Caenorhabditis elegans: one gene and its partner. The protein of the gene in region 1 interacts with the protein of each later gene in a pairwise test. Each region holds a gene or a part of one and is shown on either strand. Other genes may lie near its edges. The genes, in order: nhr-45 and nhr-142.

The links.
Region 2: the proteins of nhr-45 (region 1) and nhr-142 interact in a two-hybrid assay, tested with the Caenorhabditis elegans proteins (one large-scale study listed by BioGRID).

What each region holds. Positions count from the first base shown.
Region 1 is NC_003284.9:4,650,915-4,667,032, reverse strand, and holds nhr-45 (Nuclear Hormone Receptor family), read left to right. Parts: upstream 1-6,714; 5' UTR 6,715-6,734; coding exon 6,735-6,882; intron 6,883-7,046; coding exon 7,047-7,112; intron 7,113-7,247; coding exon 7,248-7,531; intron 7,532-8,246; coding exon 8,247-8,528; intron 8,529-9,064; coding exon 9,065-9,169; intron 9,170-9,281; coding exon 9,282-9,592; intron 9,593-9,652; coding exon 9,653-9,771; intron 9,772-9,816; coding exon 9,817-9,977; intron 9,978-10,053; coding exon 10,054-10,155; 3' UTR 10,156-10,600; downstream 10,601-16,118. Other genes in the region: Homeobox protein ceh-1, read left to right, coding at 12,878-13,057, 13,105-13,173, 13,222-13,371, 13,425-13,541.
Region 2 is NC_003283.11:5,779,921-5,796,557, forward strand, and holds nhr-142 (Nuclear Hormone Receptor family), read right to left. Parts: upstream 10,634-16,637; 5' UTR 10,147-10,633; coding exon 10,102-10,146; exon of another isoform or gene 10,026-10,101; intron 9,536-10,025; coding exon 9,461-9,535; intron 8,822-9,460; coding exon 8,718-8,821; intron 8,673-8,717; coding exon 8,539-8,672; intron 8,163-8,538; coding exon 7,978-8,162; intron 7,929-7,977; coding exon 7,821-7,928; intron 7,770-7,820; coding exon 7,557-7,769; intron 6,707-7,556; coding exon 6,493-6,706; intron 6,443-6,492; coding exon 6,291-6,442; intron 6,242-6,290; coding exon 6,146-6,241; 3' UTR 6,037-6,145; downstream 1-6,036. Other genes in the region: F44E7.5 (F-box domain-containing protein), read right to left, coding at 1-197, 413-528, 725-856; fbxa-183 (F-box domain-containing protein), read right to left, coding at 1,397-1,603, 1,648-2,040, 2,158-2,281, 2,327-2,413, 2,461-2,667, 2,788-2,867; F44E7.7 (Major facilitator superfamily (MFS) profile domain-containing protein), read right to left, coding at 2,973-3,194, 3,250-3,342, 3,395-3,463, 4,010-4,676, 5,178-5,396, 5,443-5,540; F44E7.9 (Rab5-interacting protein), read left to right, coding at 11,315-11,362, 11,410-11,487, 11,817-12,056; ZC250.2 (N-acetylgalactosaminide beta-1,3-galactosyltransferase), read left to right, coding at 12,411-12,560, 13,069-13,292, 13,730-13,889, 13,940-14,392, 14,451-14,530, 14,579-14,861; nstp-3 (UDP-galactose transporter), read right to left, coding at 14,943-15,149, 15,195-15,316, 16,425-16,556.

The DNA of each region.
Region 1 (16,118 bases):
CTGGTGTCTTTTATGTGTTTTACAAATATTTTACTGTGCGAGAAGTAAAAGATTTATTCTTTGAAAAATCGGAGACATCAAAGACTGATGTAGTTCAAAAATTCTACTTGGTATTTTCAACTGTCGTGCTAAAATTTCAGAAGATACAATTACTGTTGCAATGACCAACGCGTTCAGCAACTAGTTACAAACATTCAGCTGTGTATTTTCAGAACTAAATTTGGATGTGCACTTTAGGATCTTCAAAAAAAATTTTCCATTTCCCTGTCAATTGTTTTAAATGCAACCTCTACGAGTTTAAGAAACAATTTTTGACTTACAAAATAAGAAATACAACTTTTTATCTGATTTATGGATGTTTTTTTTTTCAAAAATCGTTCTGATACGTAGATACGAATACGGTAGATAGATACGGACATGGTACACTTTTTGTGCAGGAACAATTCGAAAAACGAACACTTGAAAGGCAAGTTAAATAAATATGTATATCCTTTGTTACCACGGCAACCAGCATATCAACCACAGGCTCAGAATTAATACACAGCGCAAGTAAAGCTGATATTTATTCGAATTTTCTGCAGAATTTTGCTATGTTTGAAAATCAAAAGGTTTGTTAAAACATTTTTTAGGTGCGTTCAAGATGCAGCTGATAATTTGAACATTGTTAAATAAACATGTGCTAAAAGTGCCAAATGTTGCAAACAAAAGAGCACAAGACATGGTTCTCTACCTAAACGTTCTTTGAGCTACCGAGACTGTTTCATTGGACTAGAAAGATGAAGATTTGTATTTTAGAAAGATTTGCGCTTTGTTTTCACTAAAAATTGATGCAGAGAAACTTCTCTTTGTCTCTGAGACACGTGCTTTTTATTTGCTCAAAACGGTCAAATTCAAAGACCAAAAGATAAGGGTCTACATACTTCACATCTATTTCCATCGTTGCAAAAAGAGTATTCTTTTCAAAAGTAGTGGTGTTTCTGAAAGTTTCAATAGTGTTTCAATTAGCATAGCATGCGACAGTCTGTAATATTAATTTTCGCGGCACTATTCTGAATTTTCTATTGTTATATTTCAATTACTAAAATCAATAAAATCTAAAGCAGGTGCACATAATTTTATTTCGAGAAATGATCAGTAGATAATTCGGTCTTTTTGAAGTAATTGAATCTACAAATGTTCTAAAAAGTTTCTAAAAATGTTCTCAACCTTTAGCATATCCATAGACAACTTGAATTGTGGTGTTCAAAAAAGGTGTTCGTCTCTAAAAGAAACTGCAAAAACGTAACAACAAAACGAGGAAGGAGTATCTAATTAATAACTTGAAAAAAATTGATTTAAAAAAAACATGGAGAAGACAGAAATGTGATGAATCTGGATATAACGAGAACTTTTTTGATTGAATTGTGTTAAACGAAAATTTTAGTTTTCCTCAAAGGTATCGCCCGTAGGTATCTTTTTAATATAGTAGAATATGAATCTCAATAACCGAGTATAACTGTTTGAAAAACATTTTTCAAAAATGTTAGATGAGTTTTTGAGTTTTGCATAAGACTTATTAGAACAAACAACTGTTTTCTTAGAACTTTTTTACCTAAATTAATTGACTTTTTCCAGTAACTGTTTTTTCTGTGATATTTTAAATTGAATAATAAAAGAAAAACCTGAAAAGGCCATTTAGTTTTTTTTTTGTTGAGAAACGGAATGTGCCATAATCAGCCACTTCTTGCAAAATTTAAAAAAAATTAAGAAAACCAAAAAGGTTGTATTAATTTTTTACTGTTGTACCACGCCTTTAGTAAAGTTTTATAATTTTCATTTCTTTATATTTTGACCAATTTTGTCTAACCTATGATTTTGATGTTCCCCAAAACGTGATTAGAATTTCGATCGTAGTTTAATATTTTATTTCGTTCTTAGTTTTACTCTGCTTTCGTTTACTTCAAATCTAATAAGCTTCGTATATGTCAAGCGTTGATCTCTTTAGTAATTTGTACTGGACTTTGCTCATGATCAAGTTCCTTCTTAGTGTGTATGCGGTCATCTGGTCGCGCACAAAACGCACCACAAGGCGTGCACTACTGAGTGCAAATTATCGCTTTTTCCTATTGTTAAACTTTTCGGTGTTGTCCGATCAGAGTTCAGGAAAACACAACACAGAATAATAGTGTTTCCAACAAATACTCTCCAGAAAAGCTGTCAGTTGTAATCAATTCGAAAAAATACCAGATCAATGGGTACTACGTTAATCGTTTTCCCCTTTTCCGATTAGTCGTTTTTTTTTTCTGCCAGATCATCACCAAATCTGTCATCATCAATTTTCGCTTTTTTGCTGGTGGCGCCTTTTTTTTTTTGGAATATTTGATAGGCAATCCTCAATGTCGTCTGTCTTTTCTTTCTCTTTTGGTGAATTGGTTAATCAAAGATCTTGTAATTAAACAGTGTAATGTTGGAAAAAAATTGCATAAAGATCACTCACAGTATATTATTTCGTTCTTGCAATAGTACAACTTTCTCGTCGGCAATTCTCGAGTTTTTAAGATCAATATGTATTTACAATTTTCATGAATCGTATCGAATTTCACTTGCATGAGCAAATATGTTTCGTTGCACTAGCCGCACATGTGATTCTTGAATTTATAATTCTGACAAACTCCGCTATTGTGCCAAGGTGAATTTAAAATATAGAAATAAAAGAAAAAGAAACTTTGTTGCTTGTTTACAACTTAAAATGCGGATAAGGTTTTTTTAGACCACTTGTTTTAGGAGATTGAAAAAATGTTTCGAATTTCCAGAAACTTGAAGTCGTAAAAAACCCAAAAAAACCAAGATATTGGCGAACTTGGATAAATTTATCTATTTTTATGTATATTGTAAACGGTTATTTTAGTTTCGTTATATTTTTTATATTCATGGTTAAACATGTTAGAGCAAAATTGAGAAATACTGCAAATATGCTTTGAAAAAAAAAAAAAAAAAAAATCAAAATAAAAGCTCCGCCCAGTTCCTGGGTATTTTTGCGCTTGAAGTTTCTAGAATTTATCCAATCCGTACATTTCAATGTGTTTTTTTTTGATATATCAGTTGTGGGGATTTCTAGTAACTTCTTATTTTTAGTCCCGGGCAACATATTACAAAAAATTATCCCATTTGACAAAAATTGCGTACACATATCTGAAAAATAGGCTTATCTTTGAAAAATTCAAAATCGGAGACAGTAGATTCCCAAACGAATATCAATGGTTTTTTTTTCCTAAAAATTATTTCAAATTTAGAAACATCATTAACTCAATGCTACTTTAAATGAAATAATATGATCGCTTGGATAATATGATATTTTGCAAATATGATATTTTGCAAATTCCATTTCTGGCAACTCTAAATATTTTAAAAATCTTTGCTATTGCAAAAATCATTTATTTAGATCATTGTTGCATACGCATTTGTCCTACTAATTTGATAAAACAAACGTAAATTAATTCATGATGACACCCAGATATAACTACACCACTTGATTTGAAGTGATCTTTTTATCAATTCTGATATCACCTTATCAATCATATCCGATTGTTTTTTTCGCGTTGTATTTTAGATTATATATCTTGTTACCTTTTTGATTCCGTTCACCACAAAAACCACAAGAACATGCATACTAAAAGAGAAAAGATTATTTTGGCTAGAAAATTTTAGCGTAGTACCTATACTTGACTACTTTTAGCAATACTTTCTTTCAAAACCAATTGCCTTTTAGAAAACTTCACACACCAAATTTAACGACAAAGACAGTTAAAATCACAAGAGATCAGAAATCATCCGAGTGAAAAGTGCAAAAGAACTAGCGAATTGAAGCACTTCTTCTTTTCTCTTTCTCTCTGCGTCTTGACACCAATGACGGGAGAATTTTTGCTTTCAATATTTCTCGGTCTAGTGATTTCTAATATCAAAAATTAAATAAGCAACAATTTTTGGTTTTCATTTGATTGTTATTTTTATTTTTCGTTCTAGACACCAGCGCCAATTTTCATTTTGTTCAGCGAACTTGAACGAGAAAACGACGAACCATTGCACTACCTTTTCCTATTACTCTCCTTCTCTCTTTCTCTCTCTCTCTCTCTCTCTCTCTCTCTCTCTCTCTCTCTCTCTCTCTCTCTCTCTCTCTCTCTCTCTCTCTCTCTCTCTCTCTCTCTCTCTCTCTCTCTCTCTCTCTCTCTCTCTTCTGTCTCTCTATCTCTCTGTGTCATCAACAAACAGGGGTGAAGAGAGAAAGAAACTGGGAGAGGACGACGTGTTGTAGCGCTTGAATATTTGCCAAATCGTTGTATGCGCGCACTGTCTGACGATCCCGCGCATTTTGTCGGGCATAACAGGGAAAGGAAGAGACATTTTGGAGTGAAATGATGGAAGAGTTAGAGAGGAATAGAGAAAGAGAAAGAAACAAAAAGAGAGTAAGAGAAAGGTCTCGCCGGTCCGAAATATTACGCTCCTTTTCTCCCTCTTTTACTCTTGCTGGTAGGGAAGGGAGGTCGATGATGGGGGAAAAGGAAAAAAAAAACGAATATTTCGCAATGCGTATTCTCTCGTACTTTCTTTTTTCACCTCCATTCCACACGTCATATTTGTCTCTGATTCTTATTGATTTTTGTTTCATTCATCAGAAAATTTTGAGATAAGGAAAACCGAAACGGTACTGTGCCGCGTCTCTTATCTTCCACAACACATTATTCTCCTTCTTCTCGCTCTTCATTATGCATTTTTGTTCTTTTTCACTTCGTAGATTTTACTTTGTAGCAAATGGAGTTTGTAGCTGTTAAATGGAATTTGAAATTTGTAGAGCTAGAATAACATTAAAACAGAGATTTTTCTGACTTTTATACTCTGCAAACGTTTTATAAGAAAAACGGAAACTAGTTTTGCTCACAAGGAAAAACCTATAATCTTTCACATCACGCTTTTTTCTTTTGCTGTCTGATGTGGTTGATTGGCAGCGCGGGATACCCCGTTTCATATTGAAAAATATTTGAACTTCACAATAAGAGCTCAAAAAATATTTCAAAAAATCATTATCAATTTTTTTTTTGAATTTATGTTATCAAAGATTTTTTGCCTTGTCAAAACTAAAATAATTTATGAAAAAGAAACAATTTAAATTTTACAATATCAGAAAATTTTTCAAAAGAGTTTAGCGTCGTTTTTCTATTAGTAATATTTTAAATTTAAATTTCAACAGAAAATTAGGCAATCAAAGTTTTTTTAAAGTTTATCTCATACTGTTAGAAGAAATATTTTTTTGCATGTCGTACTGGAACTATTCTAAAAATGTTTGTATTTTTATTTATTAAAATTCAAAACTGTTTTTTGAATTGTGTTCTACTTTTAATATGAAAATTGATTCTTCCTGAATTTCCCATAAGAATACACCTGAAAAAGTTTTTTAAACTTTAAACTTTAAACTTTATAATCTCATAATTGGTGATTTTTCGTAGTTTCTGTTCTGATTTAATACGTAGATCAAGATCGGTGGATTGGAACTAGACTAATGATCAGTGTTTAATGGGTTAATATTATAAAACTTTTCTATAATATTTATTTTCCTAGGCGTGATCTTCTTGCTTTTCACTTTTGGATTTAAATAAAATATTAAAGTTAATCCAATAATCTATCCCGAAGTCAGCAAGCGAAGTCTGCTGCCATTCAGCATTTCCTCATTCCTTTGTAAATCTTCTGAAATAGATATAAATCTACACTTTTCTCTCTTTTTTTTCAAATTTTTCTGCAACCACCAAGTTCACTTCATGACAAAACGCAGCAAACAATTGTCGGCAGGCTTACGTCGCCATGGTAGTGTCTTTCAAACAGGTGCTTTCTTTCGTTTTTAGACCAATGCCCAGTGCAACTTGTATTAATCGTGTATCCGTCATTTCCTGACTCAAACGGGAAAGCGACCCTAATCCGTACGTTTTACTTCAGATTAGTGGGCGCAATTTGGAAAGCCCGATGCATCAATTTAAAGTTTACAAATTTTGAGCTGAATCTTTTTTTTTTGCTGTAAATTATATATTTTTCTCTCGGTGTCGAATAATTAGAGAAGGAAAAAACACAAAACTACAACTTTCAGAATCAGAATCCAATTTCCTTTGATGATCTTCGTCTAGTATTTTTTTGTTCTATAATACTTTGAAGTGTCTGAAGTAAAGGGGAAAAATAATTCAATTTGGAGAACCTTACAACCTTTTTTTCAACAATCTTCAACATGTGACTTGCAAAATGACACACTTGTAAAAATATGATGTCAAAAAATTGTGGAAAATACTTTCTTTTCCTGGCCAAATTGATTTTATCGTATGATTAGTAATTTTTGAATCAAATTGATAAGAAAAGTTATACGCATAAAAATGGCCGTCACCTCCATTGTTGGAACATTGTGAGCTTTTGTGGTTGACGTTTCAAGCATTTCTTTTTCTCTCTGCTCTTTCAATATTTTAATGAAAAATTATTATATCTGCGTGAAAATGTACCCCACATTCTTATGTTTATTTCCATTGATCTGAAAATGTAATAACTTTTCTTCTTTCTTGCCACATCACTTCACCTGGCTGTAGTAAACTTGCACTATTGAGAAATCTTTTGAAGCTTTCATTTTTATTGAAATTTTATTTATTTTTCACTTCATAACTATGACAACCCATTTCTCCATTAATCGCACACTTTTTTTTTCAGAAACAACTAGCAAGATCAGCATGTCGTGTCTGGTGTGTGAGACCGATGCACACGGTCAGCACTTTGGTATCCGATGTTGTCGGGCGTGTGCAGCATTTTTTAGAAGAACTCTTACAATGAACCTTAGGTACAAATGCCGATTTGATCGAAAATGCGAAGTTTCATTTAGTAAGTGTTACGTTATTTTGGCACCCTAGGTTCGTTCTGACATTGGTCTTTTTCGCAATAGTCTTTGTGAGTCGACCGATCAAATATTTGAAACAGATAACACCGGAAACAAAATAAACGAAATCATGACGTGCTTTTCAAAATTTAAAATTTAATTTTTCCAGATAAAAGGTACTCCTGCAGATGTTGTCGTTATGAAAAATGTGTTCGAGTAGGAATGCGAAAAGACAGTAAGTGTTTTACCCGAGTTCCTTGACCCCTAACACACTTGACAATATTTGCAATCGAAAAAGACTCGAGTACTTCATCTCCAGATCAAAATAGCATGCATCCTTTCCCCACACACAATTCCCCTCCAATTGCAGATCTCACATCCCCTGTTTCAGTGGTACAAAACAAATCGGAGACCGAGAAGGACTCGTCTGGAAATGAGACTGACAGCATTGGACATTCTCCGCATTCTTCCCTGGAATCTTACACGTGTCGACCGCCGAGTTTCGAGCAGCAGCAGCAGAACCAGAATCCAGATCCTCCGTTATTAATGGGCAATAATGGAACGTTTGTGCAGGAGGTTGCGTCGGACGCCTATCAACCGAATAGCGATATGCATCAGCTAAACTTTTCGTTTCACAGAACTGTCATTGAAGAGGTTTGTAGTTTTCTTTGAAGGTTTACTTTACCGACCACAAAATGATGTCGGTAAACATTATAAAAGTAAACACATATTGATTGAAGATGAGTCATAATCCATCGACCAAATTGTCCCAGTAGTGGAATTTAATCCGCGCCGGCTTCTTATGCTTGCGATTCATGTACATATGCATTATTCAATGGACTACTACTGAAGCACTTGACAAATTTTCTTTCTGACCAAAATTCTAATTCTATCCAGCACAAAAATTTCATTAGATGAAAGTCAATCTTGTGGACTCGGGCAACACATCGTTAAAATTATATGCTTCGAGAAAAGCCATTATCCCCATGACAACAGGGCAGCGCAAGTTTGAGCGAAATAGCAAGCTGAGAAAAATACATCCCATTGTTACTTTGGCTTTTTGCGCTACTTTTTGAATTATTTTTTGAATCAGTGCAATAATGCCGGCGTTCTTTGTGGTGGATAAAACTGGAAGTCGCTACGCAATGCTCGGTGCTCCAAATGTGACTTCTGCTGTAAGTTCAAACTGACCGGAAAAATACACTTTACGAGTTGAATTTTCTTATCACTCAAATCACACTCATTTGTTCAGGAATTATCGAAACCCAGGCACACTTCGATTAAATACATATACTATACAATTAAATACATATACTATACATACATATGTACATGAAAATTGCATAGAGCATAATTTCTATACTTTCAGGTGGGTCGAGCGGTAATGCCAACTCCTCCATTCCAACAACCACCAATTCATATTCCGCAACCTTTCGACTATCAATACACAGATTTGTTGAGCACAGACGAGCAGAATTCATCGGCCATCCCCTCTTCGTTTACACAATATAACCAAGTACCTCAAGAATACAATAATGAATCTGGAAATCAGAATCAAATGTTTGCCATGGCCGCACAACAAGCAACCCAGGATCTTCATGTGAATGTGCAAAATGTTTTAACGCCGACTATTGATGCAATGTTTGGACAGGTAAGAGTTAATGTGGTTTGTTAAGTTGTACTACATACGTACATTCTGATTCTGATTAATTTTTTTGATGAGCAACTGAAAAATGTAATTTATGTGGAATCAGCCGTGGTTCATTATAGATGATGTCCAACAAATGAGAAAGTTATTAAAAATAATTTCTATGATGCTATGATGACCAAATATCGACAAATATGAAACTTTTCAAAAAACGTTGATAAATTATTTTATTTGAAGTCAAAAATAGGTGAAGCATCAAATCCCACCATTTATTTTGGAAGTCGTCGATCGAAAAAAAGTTTTCTTTCAGTGATATGTTTTAAATATGTTCCAAATATTCATATTTCAACATTGTAGGAATTCAAACATGTTACAGTGATTTAGATTTCTTGAAGAGTGGCGCAAACTCAGTTTTCACGACTTTCCGAATCAGAATAAAAATGTTTCTAAAATTTTTGATAAACGTTTTTCAATTATTTTTTTCATACTTTACTTTTAACCAAAAACATTTCACATATTTCTGAATCTATTCTTTACAGCCTCCTGACGCATTCTGTCAACTTCCGGACATTCCACTGACCCTCTGTCAGCAGGCTTTACTGGCTTACAGAGAACATAATAAACAATGGCCAGATCAAGACAAGGTGAGAATAATCTTGTTGTAACCGATAATCAAAATAGCAAAATAGATTATCTCAGAAAATTCTAGATTTTCTGAACTTGTGATCTCTATTCATAAAGCTCTTGCACTTTTAGATGATTGAAAACGTGCCTCTCGATATGGAAAATTTCATGCGCAATCATTACATTGAAATTGAGCACATTGCACGATTCTGTATGTCTATTCGAGTTTTCGCCCAACTTCCAAAGGATCAGAAGTGGATTATCTTCAAGCACTTTTGGACGAGGTTCTATGAATTAGATAGATGTTTTGCAACTTGCCAACGACTCGGCTATAACCTCACTGACGAGAGGGGGCTCACGCTGAATGGTCAGATTATCAATTTTGGAATATCTGTTGTGAAACTAGAGAATATTAGTGATATGGATGCTACACAAGTTAGAAAGTTAGTTGTTTAAAATTAAGTTTGATGAGAAATATTTAATATGTACTTACTTATTTTTAGTTTCCTAAAAGGAAGTATGGATAAGTTCCGATTGATCTTTATCAACCCGTTCAAAAAGTTGCAACCAACCGAGTATGAGCTCATGTACATGATGATGAGCATAATGTGGAGTGTATCAAGTAAGTTACTGAGCTTTTGAAATCAGTACTATTCTTTAACTGCAGACCTCCCTGGAATCACTGATGCTACTAGGGATATATCTGAAAAGGTTGAGCTTCGGTTAGCTGAAGATCTCCATACTTATTATGCTGAACAGTATGACAACAACAATCCAAACTACGCTGGTAGAATAACACGGCTAAGTAGCATTGCCTCCGCTGTTGATGTGAGTTTTTTCTTCATTTCTAGCGTGTGATTTCGAAATTATCTGGATAATATATATAATGTATATATATTTTCAGGAGATCACTGAACGAAAAAGGGAGGATAGTCAGGTGTCCAAGACGTTCAACATTTTCAAGAACGATTTCTTCTTCAGCGATCTCACCGATTTCCCAGTCTGATCTTTTTCTTGTTGTCCATAGTTTTATTCACTGACTTTCAGTGTCTCAATTAGGTTGACAAGTGCTCTCGTAACTTTAAATCTCCGATGATTTTGAAATATCTAAAATCTAAATCCAGTTATCACCAGTCATTCAATTTATGTGTATTATAAAGTGCCTAAAAATGTGAATCTTCATTTTTCGGCACGTCGTCACCTCTGACAAAACTCATCTTTGTAGTATAGGAAACAAAAATGTACTTGATTTCATTTAAAAATCCCAAGGTCTTTATCTACAGCCCCTCCAAAATTTTCAATTTTTTTCACTATCTGTTTTTCCCTTGCTCCACCTCCTTAAACGTATCCCGTAATCAAAATCTATAATCTATCATATTGTATTCTCCAGCAACAAATGCAACCAAATGTATTAAAAATGTTTAAAAATTTATAAAGATTATTGTCACACTTTTCACATCCAATTACCAGTCTGACTCTCACGTTTCCAGTGAATAACAGCGTGTTTCAAAATGTCATGTGCTAATAATATTGAACATATTAGCAAAAACCTCATTGAAATTCTACAAAACTGCATCGAGTACGTTTTAATGAATACAGGTAAAATTTTTGAAAATTCCCAAAAAATGTTTTCATTATTAATCATTTTTTGATTGAATTTTAAATGTTTTCCCAGAATATGAACAACGAATATATATATATAAAGCAGTCAATTTTTTAATGATTTTTAATGACTGCACAGTTACAATATTAAAATCATTAAAAATTGTATAAGTCAATACAAATTGTTAAACATATTTTCTCTAATTTTATCTTTTTTATTGTCAAATTTTTAATAGCACTACATTTTACTGTTGTATTTTTGACTACGGTTTAAAATGAGTCGAAAAATGAGCATTCTCATGAAAATAATTTATATAAGCTTTTCTTTGCCGGTTGCCAAAAATTTTAAAGTTATGTTGTTCGATTTGCTTATTTTCGAAGAATTGAGGTGTTTTAAATTGCTTTATCAAAATCCGACCCGCAAGTTGTTAGCTCCTCCAATTGTGAAAATTAAAAAACTTTACCAGAAACTGCGTGTCTTTGATTTATGCTTATAGGATTAAATGTAAGAGTTATACACAATTAAAATTCTTTTGACCGAATGAATTTTATACAGGTTTAATGAATTTTCATATCACTTTTAAACGTATGTCCAAAAAACTAACATCTAGGTGTTCTAAAAGTCTAATTATCTCTACGTCCAAAATTATTGTTTGAATACTATCCATAAACCTGTCATATTTTAAGAAATTTACGATTTCTTGGCAAATAATTTGATTTGCTTTTTTTTTTACTTCAGCTCACATGTAACTCTATAAAGCGATATATAAATAAAACTCCATACTCAGACGCAGCCTAAATTGTTCTCTTCAAAAGCATACACTGTACTTTTTCATTTCGTTTCCTCCCGTTAACAATATAAAAAGTGCTCCATCATTCCTCAACTATTAAAAATTGTCTCCTCTTGTCAATAGTTCTTGTTCTTCCGTCTTCAACTCCTCCGCAACTTTATTTATTCCCATTTTCTCTTTTTTAGTTCTAAAAAATTTATGTTTCTGTCTTTATTTCTCATCATGTCACAATCAAATAGAAGAAGCTCCGGTAGGCGGTAAACTTCTGTGTGCTTGGAGTACAATAGAAGCCGAAACCAATACAATAAAATGACACAGAAGAGACAAAAAGAATAGTTCATCTCATTAGCTCAGTTGCTCTGATTTGCTATTATGAATAATCCAAAGGGTCTGAAGAACCCGATAGCTTTTGTGTTTGTAGTTGTTAGCGAAGAGAAAGAGGCGTAACATATTTTCATATAGTAAGCAATTATTACGCAAGTGTTGTTTGGAAGATTGTAAATGAGATGAGCAACGAGGCGAAGAATGGGGTCTCCCCGGCAGTCGCCGCAGATTTCGTTGCCCAATCAAAACTACCCCACCGACTCCACCCCATCTGCTGTCAGTTTGATTTTGAGCCCCGATCCAATAGGTTCTCGTGAGAGTTTTTTGTCGCGTTTCATTTCTTGATGATTTTTCTTGATTGAAAAAACTATTGTGGCAGTGGTTTTAACTATGCCCATAACTGTTGGAATTTCATCAGGTATGAAAATTCCATCAAGTTTTATCATATGTTACTGTTCCCAGGATCGTTTTTTGAGATTTCAAAACAGCAAAGTGATTTAAATTTTACATTTTTAGAGTTAGGAGTAATCATATCTATGCCCCATTTTTTAAAATTCAACAGATCATATATCAGTTCTTAATTTACATATCCACAAATCTTCAATTGACAAAGTACATATTTGTATTTTCTTCATATATTATTTATTTTATGTTTAGTAGAGATTATCAATTGACATCTTCAAAATGAACCGAGATATAACCTCACAAATTGAAGTCACCTATTACGGGTCCCGCAAGTATCATTCCTGTTAACAAACAAAACCAGCTGTTGTAAACGCCAGCGTGCTACTTTTTAATAAAACCAAACACACTCACATTTTCAATTTTTACTGCCTTAACCAAAATGTCCCAGAAAAACCACTAATTTCTATTACTGAGACATTTTGTAAAATATCGTGAACATTCTCTCTTTCTCACTCTCGTTCGTTTTTTTTGTTGAATTCCAATTTTGGAGTTCAAGGCCAAATTGCACTTTTTTGTTTGTAATACAAGCTTTTCATCTTGACAGCTATGAATGGCTTTCGTGTCGAAGATTTGCTATCCGAACGGGAAAAAGACTCCAACTCGGATGAAGCCACGCATCAAAAGTCTCCAGCTGATGGCGGGAAATCGAGTCGGAAACTCAAAATGCGGCGAGCCAGAACTGCATTCACTTATGAGCAATTGGTTGCGCTGGAAAACAAATTCAAGGTTGGTGAAACGTTTTTTTTTCGGGTTCTGCATTTTTTAAATTTCAGACTTCACGTTATTTGAGCGTCGTAGAGCGTTTAAATTTGGCAATTCAACTTCAGCTTTCTGAAACTCAGGTAGCCATGATTGCAGTGAAAATTTTCATATCTTCAAAAGTAGTTCAGGTAAAAATCTGGTTCCAAAACCGGCGTACCAAGTGGAAGAAACACAATCCGGGACAAGATGCAAATACGCCTCAAACCCCACCATCTTCCGATGAAACTCAGATTCAACCAATTCTACCGGCAAATCCTATAACTTCATTTAGTTCATTGGTAAATAACAATGCATTATTATCAATTCAACCTTTAAACACCTATATTTTCAGCTTTTGCCGCCAATAATATCTCCAGCAAACTCAGCAGTTCTACAAGGAACATCCATCCCATTAACACTGTTCAACTTGAACCAAATTCTAATGCCTCAAAATGTGGGCTTCAATTAAATGGATATTTTGTTTTTGTTTTTTTTTTCGGTGTTTTTTTTTCTCTTCTTACAATTTGTACGGGTTCTGAGCTTAAACTCTGACCGTTTAATCTATTCCATTTCTATCACATGAGCTTGAAACTTGGCTTAACTTATAGCCCCCACACCTAGTTTTTAAAACAACCATTTTAGTGTGTAGACTCCGGTTTCTATATCTTTGAATCCACATATCTTTCTCATTTCCTGCAATCCCATTTACCCAATACTTCAATTTCATTCAATCCGGTTTTATTATCGCTTGATCGATATGAAATGTCTTAAATACAATAAAATTGGCCCATGGATCAATGAAGTAATGATGATTGAAAACAGAATTGACCCATGATGCTCACGACCACGTGTCGCGCAATTAAATCATGCGTATTTCGTAACTCGACCCCGTCTTGGCGGTTTTGTTTCAAGCTGTGAAATGAGAGGGGACAGCTGAGCAACATTTTGGCAGAATGTCTGCACTTCTCGAAAGTAATCGAGCCTGTTCACATTATTAGTTGTTCTGAATAGAGTTTAGATGAAAAAGCGCCTTCATCATTCAATTAGGCCATGCAATGCACATTATAGTAATAAATGTATATAGATTTGTACATTCTAAGGTCGAGTTTGAGTTTTTGAATATATTATATTAGTGTTTCACCCCATTGTTCAACTTTGGCAGCTTATCAGTTGTTGTATGTTTTATTCAAATGTTGTCAGCCGAGATAGAGCCTTTCAAAGTACATTAATCGGGTGCAATAGAGGAAATACAGTAGATCAGGATACGGCAAATATTGCATTGCTGCTTGAATTCAACTTTTTAAAAAAGTATTGTCAATGTGGTTTTTCATGGAAACATTAACAATAGTCGAAGATACAGTATGCCTAATTATGAACATCAAAACTTTTCAAGATTGTCAGAAAATTTTCAGCCAAAGTTTTGGTCACTTGCCTACTGTACAAATCCTCTACATTTTTCAGATAAAAGTATTGTTCGGTTTCCAGAAGGATGAAAACTGAGTGATTTTCAATTAGTTTTTCAAGAAATTTGATTTGTTTTGTAGTGATATTTGGCCATTGCCGCACAATGAAAGTGCAGTGATCAGCTTCTTAAAATAAAATAAAACTTTTCATAAAAAACATTTATTTTTTAACTTCAAAATGCAATTTCCATCATCCGGTCGTTGTGAATCTCGGCTCACATCAAAGTGAGAAGTGACGAATTGGTCACATTATTCAGATAAATATGATACCGCATAAAAATTCAAATATCTACTGCCGGATGTTTTTATCGAGGCGCTCAACATTTGAATAAACGACTTTGGGAAGGTTGGCAATGGTGGTGGAGACCCCGAACGATTTTCACAGCTGCATCATTGTCGCTGAATTGCCTGAATTGTGAAAGCTGTACCAGTAGTCTTGAGATGATTATTGAACTCCCAACAATGTCACCGGGATCTGGAAAAATCAATTATTTTACTGGGACTTGATTATTTCGATACATCAGTGTGATCCATCAAACATCAAAGAGTCTGTCAGTGGGAGCTGTCATGTTATCTTGCGGTATTGGCAAATTGCATCCAAATCGTTTCAAGAAGCGGCTGTTGTGGTACAATCAAACACTTGCCAATTGTCCCACTTAAACATGTTGGCGACTCAATTTACAATGATTTGTAGGTCACACACTGACAACTCATATCATTGGCGAGTCCGTCATAAGTGGACCGCAAAAAATGTGTTCGTCGCGGTGAAAACAGGGGATGGGGCGAGGTGTAGGGAGTTATGGTGTTTTGAATGTTTTCCGGATGACAAACAAGTCAATGAGGTCTCTATGTCGAATCGGCACCACCCGACCACAAAGTAAATGATGGGTGACAAATGAGCCTTCAACCAATTACATAGGAGAGGCCCTCGCATTTGTCATTGCATCTTTGCCTGTTATCAGCTCTTGCTCTCACTTGTTCCGTGTGAACAAGTGGATGGATTTGCTGGCTTGTTAATGAATTACACTTGGACACAAAATTGAGGGATTTCATGGAGGGCAGCACAAAAAAATGTGGTTTAATTAGAGGATTTAAAAACAGAAAATGTTTTGAAAAGTAATTGAAGCACTGTTTGAACCCCTACAATATTGATATATAATCCAGTCTGTGAAAACTGAGATTTCACCGCTTTTGGACTCGAAATTAAAAAATTCCAAAATTTGTTGAACAGTTTTATTATGATATATGTTTATTTTCGCACTACATGAACAGTTTTTTATATTTTCCCCATTGGCCGTGATCCACATTTCACTTATTCAGTAATGATAAATTTTGCGTTATGTACAGCCTGACGTTATAACTAAACCATGCTTATTTTCCATGTTTTGAAACGAGTACAGTATTATACAAACTAGAATTCTATAAAACAAGCTCAATTTATATCCAAAAATGTCAAGAATATGTTTTTCGACCGGGAACATCGACCGGGAATACAGATATGAGTTTATCAAAAAGATGTAGTTTTTTAGAAATGATCAAATCTTGGCCTCTCTTGAGGGGGCCGGGAGTGTCGCGAATGCGGA
Region 2 (16,637 bases), on another chromosome or scaffold:
CTGGAAGTGATCCATTGAAGCAGATATCCTCACACTTTGGCAAAGAGTGCTTGTTGAAGACGGTGAAAACATCCGAATTTTCAGGGAAGTTGTTGAATCGAAGAGTAATGAGTTCCTTGGCGAACAGCTCCAAAAGATCATTGACTGCCAAGTCGATCTTGTCAGTGAGGCACGTGAAGATGGAGTGGAAATGAGCTCTGCAAAAATGTGTACTTTGATGTAAAGAGAACGAGAAGAGAGACAGAGTGTTAGGCACGGCTGCTAGGTCGTCGCGAGAGGGCCTATGCCGATTTCGTCATTTCGTGAAATGTCTTTCTCGAACAAAGAGATAGAAGGTCATTTGAGATGGGAAATTGAAAAGAAATGAAAAAAGCTTCGTCTCTAGGAGATCAGATTTTTCTTCAAAGCTCACCTTCCACGTCGGTAGCTTCCTTTCCGATTGAGAATCATTTCGAATTGCACCTTCTCCTTGGAACACTTCTCCTCGTCGCAGCACTCATCCTTCGGAAGCGTGATGTGGAGATGAGCCTGGAACATTGTGAAATTAAAGTATTTTTGATAAATTATACACAGTAGTAATTTATAATGAGAAACGACGTTCACTGTCGCCGCCCTTCCCACAACGCCTACTAACATCTATGCATCGGTGGTCAGTGTTAGTGAGGTGTGTGAAAAGAGCGGCGATCGGAACAATTCTAAATAAATATTTGAAAATTTAAATTACCTCGTAATGTCCAATGACGAACTGGACAAGCTCGCGAAGCTTTGAGGAAGACTTCGAAAGAAGACAAAGTGATGGTGGATGATCAGCAAGAGAATACGAGATCTTTTCCCACAAATCGGTAGACAATTCCATGTTTAGGTGGGGTCAGACAGGTGCTAGAAGAAACAAAAAATAGGCTGGTAGGCTCGTCCCGCTTCGCCTTATATACTCGCTCGTTGCGAGAGATGATGCAATAGGCCCTGCAGGCATGTGTTGGAAGGGCCTAAGCGAGAGAGTGTGCGCACGAGAGAGAGCACAGGCGCGGCAAGGAAAGGCCTATGTGGAGGAAAGAAACAAAAGAAACACACGGGTTGCATTGGAAGCAGTTTATGTACGAAAAAAAGGTTCAAAAATTGAGATAAGAACACAAAGAATTCGATTTTCGTGAATTCTGAACGAAACTTTACGTTTTGGACAGTAAAAATTGTGAAAATGAAGCAAGACAGTAGCTAAATTTAAAGGGAGGTGTTCTATTATGGGCAGGTCTCGCAACGCACAAGGAAGTTTTGAATGGATACGGTAGGATTATTTTTTAAATTTAATTCCATTATTTTTGAAAATGTGGTATATTTCGACACTACAACAGTTTCATAAAGGATAAAAAATTTATTATCCAAATACATATTCACGAGTTCAATGATTCGAGTCGATTTTCTTCTTGATGGTGAACCCATTCGGGTGATAAGCAATATCGAATGTTCCATTTTTAGATTTATAAACAATTGAGCCAGATGAACTTGGAGTTGAGTGTAGATCGAAAACTTTAACGAGCAGTCTTGCACTGAATTTCACGTTTTCAGAAGTAAAATATTCGAAATTTGTTGATTTTAGAAGAACCTCCTGAAAGTTTATGTTGAAAAATTGATATATTAAAGGAAACTTACATCTCGAAACTTGATGATGTCATCTCTTGAGAAAGATTCTCCAACAAAGTCGAAGTTCATAGATTTGAAGTGATTGAGATGCTTGACAATAATAGAAAAATGTGGAACTTTAGACAATTTCAGATTCTTTGCTTTTTTCCACTGTTCCAGGCCCACCAGATTTTCTCTTTCGGAACCAAGACATTTAATTGTTAAGTCTTCCAGAACTTCAGGCTTAACGTGTTGCAGAAGTTCAGCAATTTCATAAGTGTCATCCCAATTGATCAAAACTGATTTTGCCGACAAGATTCCAATTGATTCAAGAACGCCTTTAATAGCAAGAAAAATTCTGTACCATTCATCCATCCAGACCATAATATTAACTTCGAAACAATCCAGATTTAATCCTCGAATCTTCAAAAGTTTTGATACATCAGTCATAGCAACTTCCAATGGTTTCTTATCCTTAACAATCAGTTCCCGTTGCTCATAATTCACTTAATAGTCCTCATCCTACAATTCATAGGCCACCTGGCTATTGTTTGTTTCTAAATCAACTCTTGTCTCATCTAGATTCATCATTATCTTTTTCAGGGTAGATTTTTGATTGTCAATAATATCCTTGAAATCCCGACAAACTGCGCGTGCAGCAAACCTGAAAATTTTGTATTTACAAAACAAAAATGCAATCAATTCTTACAGATCAATTGGATTCAGTTTATCAAGGATCATCGCTTGAACGTCGGTGAAAAGGCCGGTGAACTCTTTCCTCTCTGATGTATGAAATCTATAAAAGGTACTGTGATATTATGTTCATTGAAAAAAATGACAAACCTATCATAAGAGTCTACGGTTAAACTCCCATTTGCAAGTCCCATATACCAATATTCAAAGTGTCGGTATTCCATAAAGTGATCTCCAAATACCTTGCTCATTGCTTTATATGCATTGAAAACTTCAATGCCTTGAAGATGTTGAAATAAAACGCAGATTCGCAATGCTCTAGGGTCCATGACGATACATTTAACTTTGGGATCGATTCTAAAATTTGAATGAAATTTTTCATAAAGCATACAGTTTAGTTTTTGCTACGTTGGCAGTTTTTTGAAATTACAATTCAATAAAACAGATTCACGTAGCATAACATAATGAAAAACTTACTGATCGGACATTTTGACGATTTGAAACAAACTTCGTAGAGCTGGCGAAGTATCAAGAAATAAATGAATTTGAAATTTCATGGGCGTTTGTTTTTCGTTTCACGCTCACGTAAAATTTGGCTTTCTAAAATGTTTTAATTATTTCAGTATTTTTTTTTAATACTTGAAATTAAAAAGTGATATTTATTAAAATCGTTTGGCATAATCCGCAGCTTCAGCGGTAGTCAAAAACGGGAAAGGAATATTGACAATTAAAACAATTCCGGATACAATAAAAAACAAGAAAGACCATTCTTCAGGAGTATTATTCGGACAAAGGTACCCTACTCCAAGAGGTACCAAAAACTGCCAAATGCATGCCATGAATGCAACAACAACAGTTGCAAAGTGAACATGTTGTTGGCATCGCTGAAAATTTTGGATTTGTAGATTAAATAAAATCTGGGAGAAAGAAAATTTTTACCAGTTGCAAACATTTAACTGTACCCATGATTGTAATGCCTGACAGAGTAACTGCAAAAGTATATGAAATTTGGGCAATTGTTCTGGAAGATGTCTGAAATAATAATTATTAAGATTGCTGAGAAATCAAAAAAGATTAGAGCTACCAATGACATGACGACAAATCCAGCGGCCAATCCAATCATGGAGATTAGTGTGCAGGTAACAAACTTTGTCTGAATTTGAAAATGTTCAGTTAGAAACTATTTGGGTAGGGTAAATAGGGAATTTGCTTCAAAATGCCAAAAATGGTCTGAATTTCAAAATTGCCAAAAACCAATGAAAAAAGATTCTTTGATTTCAAATAAATTCCCTGATTGAATTTCCTACAAAATCAGAACTTCAGGGCCAATCAGACTTAGTATGTGAAGTTCAAAATGTGTCGGAATGTCCCATCTCGGTTTGATCTCCGAAAATTGCGAGAATTTAGACGCAGACTTCTAAACTGATTTCGCATTGTTAAGAGTGTGCTAACTTCCCTTTTTTTAGGAAAAAAATTCCCGCATTTTTTTGTAGATCAACCCGTTATGTGACTTCCTGAAACCACGCGAACTTCTCATTTTGGAGGGAATTCAATTTACATAACCTAAAATTTCAGAAAAAAAATCACACTTTTAATAATTGAATTTATATTCTTACCCAATTTTTTAATTGTTATTTTGTGGTTTTCAAACCATTTTGAGTATTTAAAACAAAATCTACTCCACCTATAAAAATCTAACCTTCTCGGAAAACATTGTCAGTCTATCCGTTAGTTGACCTGATGCAAATTTAACAATTGCACACGAAACAAACGGTAAAGCTGCTGCCCATCCGGTGCCTTTTACATCAAAATGTAAAACTTCTCTCAGATAAGTAGGTCCATACAAAACAAGTACGTAGAATGCAACATTTCTTCCGCACATTGAAAGCCACGTTGCAAGTACACATTTATCAAAGCATATTGCTCGGTACGGAACACTTTCTTTTCCTTTCTTTGGCTTCTTTTCAGCACAAATCATACTCAGCTCTTTGGATGATACGTGGAAATGATTCTTAGGAGCATCAGCGTACAAAAAGAAAAATACCATATAGACGAGAATAGTAAGTGATCCAAAAATGTAATAGATCGGCCTCCACCCCCAATCCGATTCGCAAAGTATTCCTGAAACGGGCATACAGATGATGTTGCTCAATTGGAAACCACATGATAAAACTGCCAAAAAAGTGCCCATTTCAGTCTTTGGAGCCCATATTCCCGGAATATAAGCGACAACTGTGTAGAGGATTGATGTTCCGATTCCTTGTAATATTCTTACAATAAAAACAGCATAGAATCCCATGTGAACTGATAATGGAAAGAGTAGAGAACTGGCAGCAGAGATTATACCAAATAGTGTGAAGGTTATTCTGAAAGATAAAGATGTAGCATCGTCGAAATTTAGTCTAAACACACTTGTAATGCTCCTAATTTATCAAAATAATAAAGTTAAAAGCTTCGAAAAATATTATTTTAAATCTTCGTAAATTCGTGAATTTCCAAGCTTTCAAAAAAAAATTGGGCTTTTTGAAAAATCTCAAACACACATTTGTTTCATCTCAAAATACAATTTTTCAGTTTACAGTTTGTGGCAATCTGCCACTTTCAAGAATTTTTTTAGTATTATTTCACAAATTTAAATCAAAATAAAGGTTATAATTATAGTTTCAAATCAAAAAAAGTTTATATATTGGTTTGATTAAAATTATTGAAGCTTGATGCTTGAATAAGTTCACTTTGGAAGATATAGGTCGAAGGCTGTCAGGCAGCTATTTTGGTGCCTGCACGCAAAGTTTTACAAAACATTAGCTAGTCAATGGTTCAATTTAATTTTTTAAATTAAATAACAGAATTCCATACATTCTACTCACCTCAACCCAATGTTATCTAACATTGGCACGAGTGGAAGCAATCCAATTACTGCTCCAATTGCAACTCCTGAGAAAATCCAAGATTTTTGACTTGGATCTTCCAGCCAATGCAAATCCGTTCTGTTATTACTATGAAAGTCCACAACTACATCTTCCATACAAATAACTGTGAAGTTGAAGCTTAAGGAATTCATTTGACCAACTGTCATACACAAAAGCCTGAATCAAAACTAATTTATGTTGTACGAAAAATATTTAAACCTACGAAAGTATCATAATCAAGTATCGAGTTTTGTGAAAGAACACAAAACTAGATATGTGCCGAACATCTGGGAATCCTGATTCAATAGTTATCACTGTCATAGTTGTATTACAACAAGAATGTTCAGTTCCTTTGACAAGTAGAGTTTATGGTTGTTCATTTGCATAATCACATATAACATCATTGATCAAAACATCAAACTTGTCCTTTTTGAAAATGTGGCGGAGGCAAGAGTAGAAATACTATCAAAAATCATGTGAAACAATATTTTTGAATTATTATTTATCATTCCCAGAATTTCGCTTAATCCGTGTTTTCTAAAAATAGTTTATGTACCTATTCAATATAATTAGGCTATTCAATATAATTTTATAGCTATTCAATATAATTTTTACTTTTTCCTATTTTTTCTCTTATTTTCACGTTCAAATAAACGTATTAAATAAATAGTAGATGGGAACAGTATTGCACACGGCCAACCAATCTCGAAAGCATCAAGCCACAAGTAGCCAGTTGGTGAATCTGGCGAAGCTTGAAATAGCTGGCGAAGACTAGTTTTTTGTTTTTCTTTTTTGCCTTTCTACATCCAAAACCTAGTTCGTAACAAAAATATGTATTTGAGCATTGACAAATTATTTACCAGATTTTAGAATAATATGAAGAATGAACCAAAAATGAGAACATGGAAAAGAGAAATAAATCAAAATTAGTCCTGGAAGACGCATGGATCGGTCACTTTGACCTTGAAAACTTCGAAAATCTTAGCCAATTCCATGATTTTCAGGCGATCCAAATGAATTCTCTGAAACATTAAATCGTCAGTTTGGTGGACAATGGCCACGAAATTTCACCTGTAAACTATTCACAACAGTCATCAGTTTGATAAGTCTACCAGCATAGTTTGACATTTTGTACTCTTTCAAATAATATTGATGAAGATCGTCGGCTATTTTCCCAATGAATTTCTCTCCCGCATCAAGAATATCACCTTGAAGAGTTTTTCCTGAAATTTTAGAATTATTGGGAGAGCTCATTGAAAGGGGAAGTGCCCACCAGCAATATGCCATATGATTTGACACAACATGTAACTAATTTCAATTGTGGATGGATCAAGCTCCATAAGTGGACGAGCGACTTCTTCATACATTTGTGAGCACACATGTTGGAACATTTTTCGGAGCTCGAGGGAAGTGTAGTCGGTTATCTTGGAAAGATCAATTTCAACATCTTCCATTCGAATTGCAGTCGAATTTGAGGTGATGAGAATCTACAAAAATTTGATATTGGTGTGGAGATTTCGTATAAATGCTGTCATATTAGTCCAACAGATTTTTGAAAGGTTTCAGACAAAGTTTTGGCAGTTGCCACATTTTTAAAAAATTTCATTTTGTAAAAACAAAATTATTAGTTTTTGAGAAACCTCAAGTTACACAAAAATTTAAACCCACAAACTACTCATGTAAACTGCGAATGCTCCAAAAAAAAAAAAGAAGTTTTTTTCTGATTTTTTTTCTCCAGAAGTTATATTTTTTAAACAAAAATTGTATAAATAGCAAAGAAGTTAAATTGTTTCAATAGAACATTTTTTCGAGCTTTCCAAAATTTTTCAACATTTCATGGCATAACTGACTTCCTCAATATTTTCTAAAATTTTCAATTAAAAGTTTGATAAAATATTTTTATAAAGTTAACATTTTTGAAGAGGATTTTTTTAAAGATGTAATGACTACTGGAAAATATCAAAAATAGAAATTATGATTAAAGCCTTTTATTCTCCTTTTATGGTCCATATAAACTATTTTCTGCAAAACAAAAGTGTTTTATTTTGAAATTATATAAATATTGGTAGATTTAATACGATATGGTCGAACCTACTAATTTTTACGTTATTTTCTTGAAATCATATTTTTTCTAAACCTGATGGTTTTTTCCAATTGAAGTCGTTGTTAATGATTGGAAAAATATTTCCAAATCATATCAAAAGTTCAACAGTAATGCCGAATCTCATTTATTTGTTTTTCTTCGTTTCTTTCGTAGATATTTTATGATTTCAAGTGAGATCACGCATTACTTTCTAAGAAAAAAACTTTTCAAGAAAAAAAAAAGAAATTACTCACTTTCTCCTCTATCGCCCTTTTTCCAAAAATTTCCAGTGACATTGTCAGCTTCTCGAATCTCTGTGACACTTGCCAAACTAATTTGAAAATCGAAAACTTTTCTTCCAAACTCAATTCTCGAAATTCTTCAGAATGCATCATAAATTCTGCTTGTTTGGTCATTTCCATTCCCCACATATCAACCAATTGGTCCAGTCGTATAGTGTTTATGATCTGGTTATATTTGAACTACACTATAGTCTTCAATATGTATTATGTACTTACTCGGAAGTTTTGCATCTTTTTATTCTTCCGATGACGTCTCAAAGCCCAATCCATTTTTCCTAAAGTGCTGGTCGACTGGTAAACCGGATCATCAACTGGTATTTTGAACTGTAAACGTGGAATTTTACGGAATAAATATACGGGTCACAGCACAAACCTCCATAAAAGTCTTGTGTATTTTATTCAAAGTTCTTGACAAATCATAAAGTGGTGGAGCATCTAAACAAGACTTTTTGGATCCAGGACTCCAATCTGAATATGCATCAACGTCAGTTGCATCGTCTTCTTCACTTTGACGTTTTCTATCAGTTGATGAAATCATATCACGATTCCATTGAACATCTGAAACATAATTGTTGTGGTTGTAAAGAAACATGATCCTCAAAAAATATAACTCGTGAATTCAGGGAGAACATTTTGTGAAACTATTGAAATTTTACAACATTATTAACTGCTAATAAATGTTTGGAATTATGTATATTCGAGACTTCTGTTAAATATGATCTTGTGAAATGCCAATTCAATTAAGAAAATATTTTAGGTACCACTAGAAACAAAATAAGTATAATTTGTAGAATGATTTTATTTTCTAGTATTTTTGTCCAAAACTTACAAATGCTAAACACAAAGTTCTACAGTAGTTAGTGGGGTCAGGCTAATTTTGATTTGAATGTATATACCTAGAAAGGAAATGGTGAAACTATTTTTTTGTACTCACTATCTGCGGTCATCCCGAGTTGTAGGCACTTTTTGTACCTGCACAATCTGCACAGATACCTCTCTGACTTGTCAATTCGACATCCTTGACTTGCTTTTCTGCACGAGTATTTTTTGTCCATGACAACAGAGCGTCTGAAAACTGTGTTATTTTTTGAGTGTCCAAAACATGTACCCTACCTGAAAAACGCAGCACAAGCCCTGCAAGACAAAACTCCAAAGTGGACACCGTGTGCCGTGTGTGCGCAAACTCGGCATTCGGAATCAGATGAAGATGACGACGGCTGCAACATTTCTCATCAAATGATATTCACTTTTGTGACTTCAATTGTGTTGTGTGCCCATTTCTCTGTGTTTCATGACCTGAGAGAGTGGCGAAGAGGAAGATGCGCAGGGGTGAAAGAGATTTAGTGTGTGCGTTTGGGAACAGAAATTGTGTGTTCGGCCATGGAGTTTGTGATCATTTACGTGCTTCGATGTAGTTAAAGAAATAAGACTAGAGACAAGCAATCATATTTTAAAGTAGATCTTACTTTAGAATATTAAAAATCTCCAATTTCAAATCTAAATGTGTTGTAGCGGCCATAGATTTTATAGAGTTTGTGACAGATCTAGATTTTTGATGTTTATCGGTAAATCACAATTGTAAGATAAACTTGGATACGGTATTTTGATAATAGTGCTGCTTTTCGTAATGGAAACATAGTTTTTGTGACTCATAAGACGCTAGATCCTTATGGGATTAATTCATTGATAAGAAATCACATAACCTATGACAACTAGAATGTGTTTAGTTCACGAAATCGAAAAAAAACTAGGTGATCCTAGATTTTATCAATTCCAACCTATTGTCAACTTGATAAATAAAAGTGTATCGTCATAATGAAATATCAAATGATGAAACATTTTGTAACAATTCCTACCTGATCTACACTCATTCGGGATTGCTCTATAAAAGCCGGTGGAGACATTCCGATTTCCATTGGTGATTGTGTTTCCTGAAAATTTGGAATTGACTAAAAGTAGAAAGTAGGTTGCAAGAAACAAATATATTGAATTCAAATGTGGTAGAAACTGATCAATTCGCTGAAATTTTATAAAGTAAGCTACCCATCAGCGTGGTCTAAAAATTATCAAATTGGTAGAGAAATTTGCAAAGTTTGGGCAAGACTTTATTTGGATCAAGGCTACGTTTACGTTAAATGAGACTCTTGCCAAAATCTTACAAAAATTGAAAGCGGTACAAGAGAAGTTTGGCAAGAATTGGGCAAAAATTGGGCTCAGACTTGCCCAAGTCTTGCCCAACGTTTGCCCGAGCTTTGCCATTATAAATTTTCAACCGAAACCTGAGCGAAAGCTCGCCGAGTTGGCCAGAAATCCCGAGCTTAATTTTATGTACAATTATATCAAGGGAATTTTCTGTATAAAAATACATGTATCCAATTCAAAAGTCAGAAATTTTTTTGCAAATGTATGTAGTAAATTAAAAACAAACTACAATTTATCCGTACAATTTACAGACTACACAAAAGCCTTAAAAGCCTAAAAAGCCAAAAGAATTAACCTTTCTTTGAATTGACGAATCATCAATGAGCTCAGGAACTTCCATGAGACTAGGCTTCTGACCTCTTGAAACCGAAACAATCAACTGACTGCCTAGAGGGCATGAACCACCGATAAAATGTAGGAATGGGCGGGAATTTTGATTTTTTGCCAACCTTTCCGTATGGAATAATGAATAGAATCTTATGAGGTCTTGAACGATTGAAATGATATATCAAATCACAGAATATGTCACGGTTTCTTTAAACACATTGGTTTTATTTTTGTTATCAGATTGTGTCTGTGCGAGTTGGAGTGAGAAAACGGTGAAAGCAAAATTGAGAACAAATATTGACAGGGCTTGGGTACCTATCGAGACACTATGGAGAAATTCATAACGAATTCGTTTAGGAAGTGGATATGTGTGCCTTCTATGCGGATACAAAACCACACCTTATTTTCTATGCGAATACTTGGACTTTCAAATGGGAAACGACAAGAGGTGTTAGAAGGCAGAAAATATTGGAATATCATATACAACGGTTTTAGACTATTCATGTGTCGTTCTGACTGATTTCATCTTTTCTGTTTTATTCCTATAGTGTCTCTCTCTCTCTCTCTCTTATTGAAAACTTCCGTAGAATTGATTTTTGTACTTCTGACTACAAACCACGAACATAGCAGTTTTGACACATTGCCTACAAGCCACACGTAGTGAGGCACCACTGAATGAGGAAACGCGATATGGGGGAACAAGCAACGTTGGGAAAATTTTAGCTGGAATTTTTTTCCGTCCCTTTAGCTGAAGCTTTAGTGTGATTTGGTAAGAAAAACTCTATTTTAATCTGGAACATAAAAAATTAATTTCAATTTAATTACATTACTAACCGTTATTTCCAATTTTTCAGATTAGAATAGAGATTTTCTCACCTAACTATACTAATTATTATTACACTCATAGGGAAAAAAAATGCTCGGAAACCTGTTTCCACAGTTCATGTGTCTCCAAGTTGCGTCTCCTCGATTCGTATCTCGTAAATCAGTGGTGAGTCCATGACGCGTTTTGCGTCAAGGCGGTTTCTGGCGTGTTTTGCGGGAGCTGGCGCATTTCTCGTCTTTTTTGTGAACACTTTTTGGAACGCAGCTTCTTATTTCTTATTGGAATTGCTTTATTTTCTTTTAATTTTTCTCAATTATTGTTTCAAAAATTACTTTATTTTTTATTTTCAGGTATAATGTCGTCCAAATCGTCTGCACCACTGGAACCCACGTGGACCGAGACGGTAAATTAAATTAAAACTAATATGTTTCAAATATCGATAATGTTTAGCTTGCCAAAGGACTCACACCTCGCTCTGAATGGCCAGACAAAGACGAATTATTGGATGTTGTTTACTGGGGAAAACAGGTGAGATATTAAAAAATTTAAAACTGCAAAAGAAATAAAAAAAACTTCCAATAATTTATATAATTTCACTCAAAACACTTCAATTATGCGTTGAAGTGTTTACAAAATGGGTTGTTTCTTGGTTGAATATTTCAAAAACAAATTTTTCACATAAATTTCGGAAGTTTCTTCGAATAAGTTGGATTTCTTTTAAGAAAGGTGGAAATAGAGTAACCAATTTCAGAAATTGAGAATATCATTCAAAAAATCGATAATTCAAAAAGCTTTGATAAAATTATTCTTTTAAAAAATCTAACAATCAGTTAGCATTTTTCATTGTTTCTTTCCAGGTTATCTCCCTGCTGCTGGGCTTCATCTTCGGAATTACCTCACTAACCGGAGTCCTCGTTTTAGTCTGCTACGTTGGAACGTCTTCCGTCATTGCTCACCACTTTGTTACAAAATTCCAACGAGTGGACGAAGAAGAAGTCGGAGGATTCTGGGAATTGTCGAAAGAAGGATTCGGTGCTGCTTTCGCTACCTTCATGGTTACGTGGATCACAACCTACACGTACTCGACACAAGTGTAGAGACCTTGGAAATATATATTAGTATTTATTGAATTTTGTTTAGTTTACCTCGACAGTTTTGAGCCAAAAGCAATCAAAGTTACAACTTAAACATGTTCGTGTGCCGTTCTTCCCTTGTTATTCCAAATATTTAATTTTAAAATTATTTTATTTTTGTTCTGTGATGTTTTTTTGCGAATTGTTTATCTTTAAATAGTTAAATATCAAACCCCAATTGCCTTCCGTTCAAATATATGAATCACTTTGAATTGAATCTCTAGAATTAATTGTTGTACTGACTGAAATGGACGCTACCAAATTATGAACTTATCTCGAGTTGATTTATAGTAAAACTATGAAACAAGTAATTTTTAGATGCAACTATTAATCATCTTATCTATATTGTTGTCACTATGTGATACGGAGAATTTGACGGTTTTATTAGTTGGATCTAGATACAAACTTACTGAACAAAGAGTAATGGAAAGGAGGAAGCAAATTTTAGCAGATTGTGAAATATTAAAGGTTTGAATTCTTAGAAAAATCTGTCTTTTAACAAAGAGGCTTATCAAACTAAATAGCGCCCGTTCAGCGAATTTCAATCGGAAAACAGTTTACTGAACAGAAGATTTATATTACGGGAACACAAAATTCCGAGAATGCGTACTGCTCATCATATTTGACGCGAAAAATATCTCGTAACGACAACTACAGTAATTCTTGAAATTACTACTGTAGCTTCCATTTTCCCTCGTTTCGCCGTGTACTTTTCTCATTTTTTGCAGAATTTTAATATTCTATCGATAAAGCAATGATTAATTCATTTCAAAAAGCGAGCACGTAAATCGACACAAACGCTACAGTAGTCATTTCAAAAATTACTGTAGTTTTCGCGACGAGATATTTTGCGCAATACATTCTCAGAATTTTGTGTTCCAGTAATATGTCCACTTTCTAAAATAAATTTTGGACGAAAAAAACTAAACTCTCATAAAATAATCCTAAATAGTTACTGAGAATCACTAAATTTCAGCTCTCTTGTTCCGTTTTCGACGCTCTAAATGATTTTTCCACGGAATCTTATCCTCAAGGGATGTGGACTATAGTTCCCGCAATTATGAAATTGCCGTTTATTTCTGATTGGATAATCATCGCAGAAGATACTTCTGAAATTAATATTTCAAACTTACCGAAGTTCTTCGAATCTGAACCATCTTCTGATATGGTATTTTCCGGGTTTGCACTTCAGGATCGAGAGTAAGTTTGAGATTTTTTAGGGAATTTTAGCTTCGACGAAAAACTACGGAACCTGGTCTCGACACGACCGATGATGTAAAAAAAGAGAGATGTGTGTCTTTAAAATGTACAGTAGTCTCCATGCCTCACTGGTTTTCTTTCGTTTTCCAGTTGCTCTACTTTTTCATTTTTAAAAACCGAGTATACGAAAAAGCTGCAAAAAACAGAAAAGTTGGAATTGAAAAAAAAACAAACCGAGAGACTACTGTACTTCTTAAAGGCGCACACTCGTTTTAATTTGAACAGATTCGGTCGTATCGAGACCTGTTACTGTATTTTTGCATTACAAATTGTAAAATTTCGCATCTGCCTAATAGAGAAATGATAGATTTCAAAATTTCAAAATTTCAAAGTTTCTACAAAACAAAAGTCCAAAATATAAAAAAAAAACTGTTAAGCCCGACAATTATCCATCACTTTGGAATGAATGCTCCTGAAAATTTCCAATATCCCTTATTTTCTGCTGGTTTTATCTTGTCAAAAAGTGTAGTTGAAATTATTCGAAAAGTCGATATAAACGATCGATGGTCCGGATTTGCAATTGATGCAAAATATGAGGTATTACCATTTCCAGATAATATTATTTCTCAAACGATTTCACATTTTAGTTTGCTCAGTTTTTACACAAATGGGAAAATTTGAGGCTTCACCATCATCCTGATTATTTTTGTTGTGGAGATACCATTGATAGTTGCATTGTAAAATGTTCAATTCCCTTTCCAAAAACGTCAAATTCAATTTCTGATTCTGAAGTTCATGTCATGGTCAAAACGTTCGAAGGACATCATGTGAACCGACTTGAAGTTCTCAAAAACACTTGGGCATCCGACGTGTCACGCATAGAGTACTGTAGCGACAAAGAGGATCCGGCAATTCCAACAATCAATCTAGGAGTCGACAATACGGACAGAGGACATTGTGCAAAGACATGGGAAATATTCAGAAGATTTTTGGGAAGTTCTGGAAATGGAGCGAAATGGCTTGTAGTAGCCGATGATGATACATTGATGAATTTCAAACGGTTGAAGCAAATGTTAGAGTTATATGATTCTGGAGATAAGGTAGGTATTTCTAATTTCATAGATCTTACTATTAATGAGTATCTTTAAAACATTTCAGATAATTATTGGCGAGCGCTATGGATATGGATTTAGTTTGAATGGTGACAGTGGATATGACTATCCCACTGGCGGATCTGGGTTTGTTCAAATAGTTTTTCTAGATTTCTCAATTTGTTTGACTTTCAGAATGATATTCACGCGCTCCGCAGTTGAATCTTTACTTGCACAATGCCCATCGTGTATTGCAAATACTGATCCGGATGATATGACGATCGGAATTTGTGCACTAACAGCTGGAATTCCAATTGTTCACGAATCTAGATTACATCAAGCGAGACCTCTAGATTATGCTCCGGAGTACATAAAATATCCAATATCATTTCATAAATTTACTGATATAGATCCAATTTCAGTATATTACGAGTACCTAGTAGAATTAGAAGAATATAATCACAAATCTGAGCTTTAGGAAAACGACATGTATAACAGGAATGTGTTATTGTTATTACGAGTATCATTCATTGAATAATAAATTCTTCATCTTGAACTTCTACTTTTCCGGTTTAATCATCAAAAGTGACGAGTTTTGTTGCGATTTCAGATATGCACTAAGCTTCGATTCCGGCTCTTGATACGGGAATGCGGTATAAATAATTATTGAAACAATGACCATAAATGTGCCAAGAAGGAACATAAAACCAGGAGCAAAATCAAAAAGAATCCACGATCCAACCGCAGCTCCGATGATTGCCATACTCTGTAATATATTATTTTTGTATTGGACATCAGATGAATTTCTTGCCTGAGCATATGCTTTTAGAATGTTGTCGGCGTACTTTATTACCACAGATATCAATATTCCACCAACTGAATTGGTGACTGTCAAGCAAACGACCACGAAGTCCCAACCACGGAATGCGCCTTCTGAAAAATTAGAATTTTTTAGAAATAAAAGTGAATTTAAGTTTTTTATCATTCTCCTGTTTAAATGATAATTTGTAAATTATTGATTTTAGAAATCTACAGTATTTTCTCTATGCACCCAAAATTTTGACGGCGTATATATACGCCGTCAAAATTTACGCGTATATCTTAGTTGTCATTTGTCCTATAAAAAAGTTATCAATTGATAAAATGTTTATCATTTCTTTTTCTATCGTTTTGCAACTGATTATTTTTTGATATTGTCAAGCTGAGTCAAGATATACCTACTTAAAGTAAAGTAGTGGGGTGAAATACTTTTAGAGGAGATACGGTCTTTTTACAGATGAATTAAGCAAACGCGAAATATGAGAAAAACGAGCGTTTTTACAATATTTGTAACCTAAAAACTAGAGTTTTCTGCAAGTAAAATACTCATGGTTCAATTCAAAAATCGACTCGCAAGATGTAAGCTGCTTCAACTTTATCCAGGGCCGCCTTGATAAAAAACATTCATCAGCAAAAATGGAGACAAATATGTGCACAACATTTTCTCACTAGAACTTTTTTTTTGAAAAATAAACTTTTATTGCCATTTTCTAAAAGATTCCCTGATTTTCTTACCAGCGAATGTTCATTCTTTGGCAACAATTTTGTTTTCGCCGTTCTCGACCTATCGCTCGCGCCACACTCCCCCCACAAAACCATTGTTATTCATCCGCGACCGTTTTGAAACACTTGATGCAACGAATGCAGAAGCTCTCTTTTCTTCATGCTCACATACAGAGCAACAGGCAATGGTCAGTGTGCAAACAGAATGCGGGTGGGGCAAGCATGTGCTCTGGCTCTGTTCCTTCCATCGGATTGTCTGCTTTTTCAAGAGGTGTGAAAAGAAAAGAAAATTGACAATGGGCACGGAAGGGGTGAAGCGGATCCATCTCTTTTCTTTTCTTTATCGAAGACACACTCAACACACAACTGTATACCTCTCAGGCTACGACCGATGATCTTTCCGGTTTCATTGACACCTCCTTACAACCCACTTTTTTCAATTTAAAAGTTTTCTTTCGAAATTCGAAACCCGGTTTACTTAAAACTATTAGCAACTCACGTTCATTTATTTTTTCCCAGTCATAGTACCACATTGAAAGAAATGAAATTGGAAGTCCGATGAGTGCAAGACGAATGTTTTGAACCCAAATTGATGCATTGCTAGATTTCAAAACTTTTTCCAAGTAGACACCTGAAAAAATAAAATCAGTTCTATTTTGGGATAAGAGAGGGATAACCTGGACAAACAAATCACTTGATTTCAAAAAAAAGT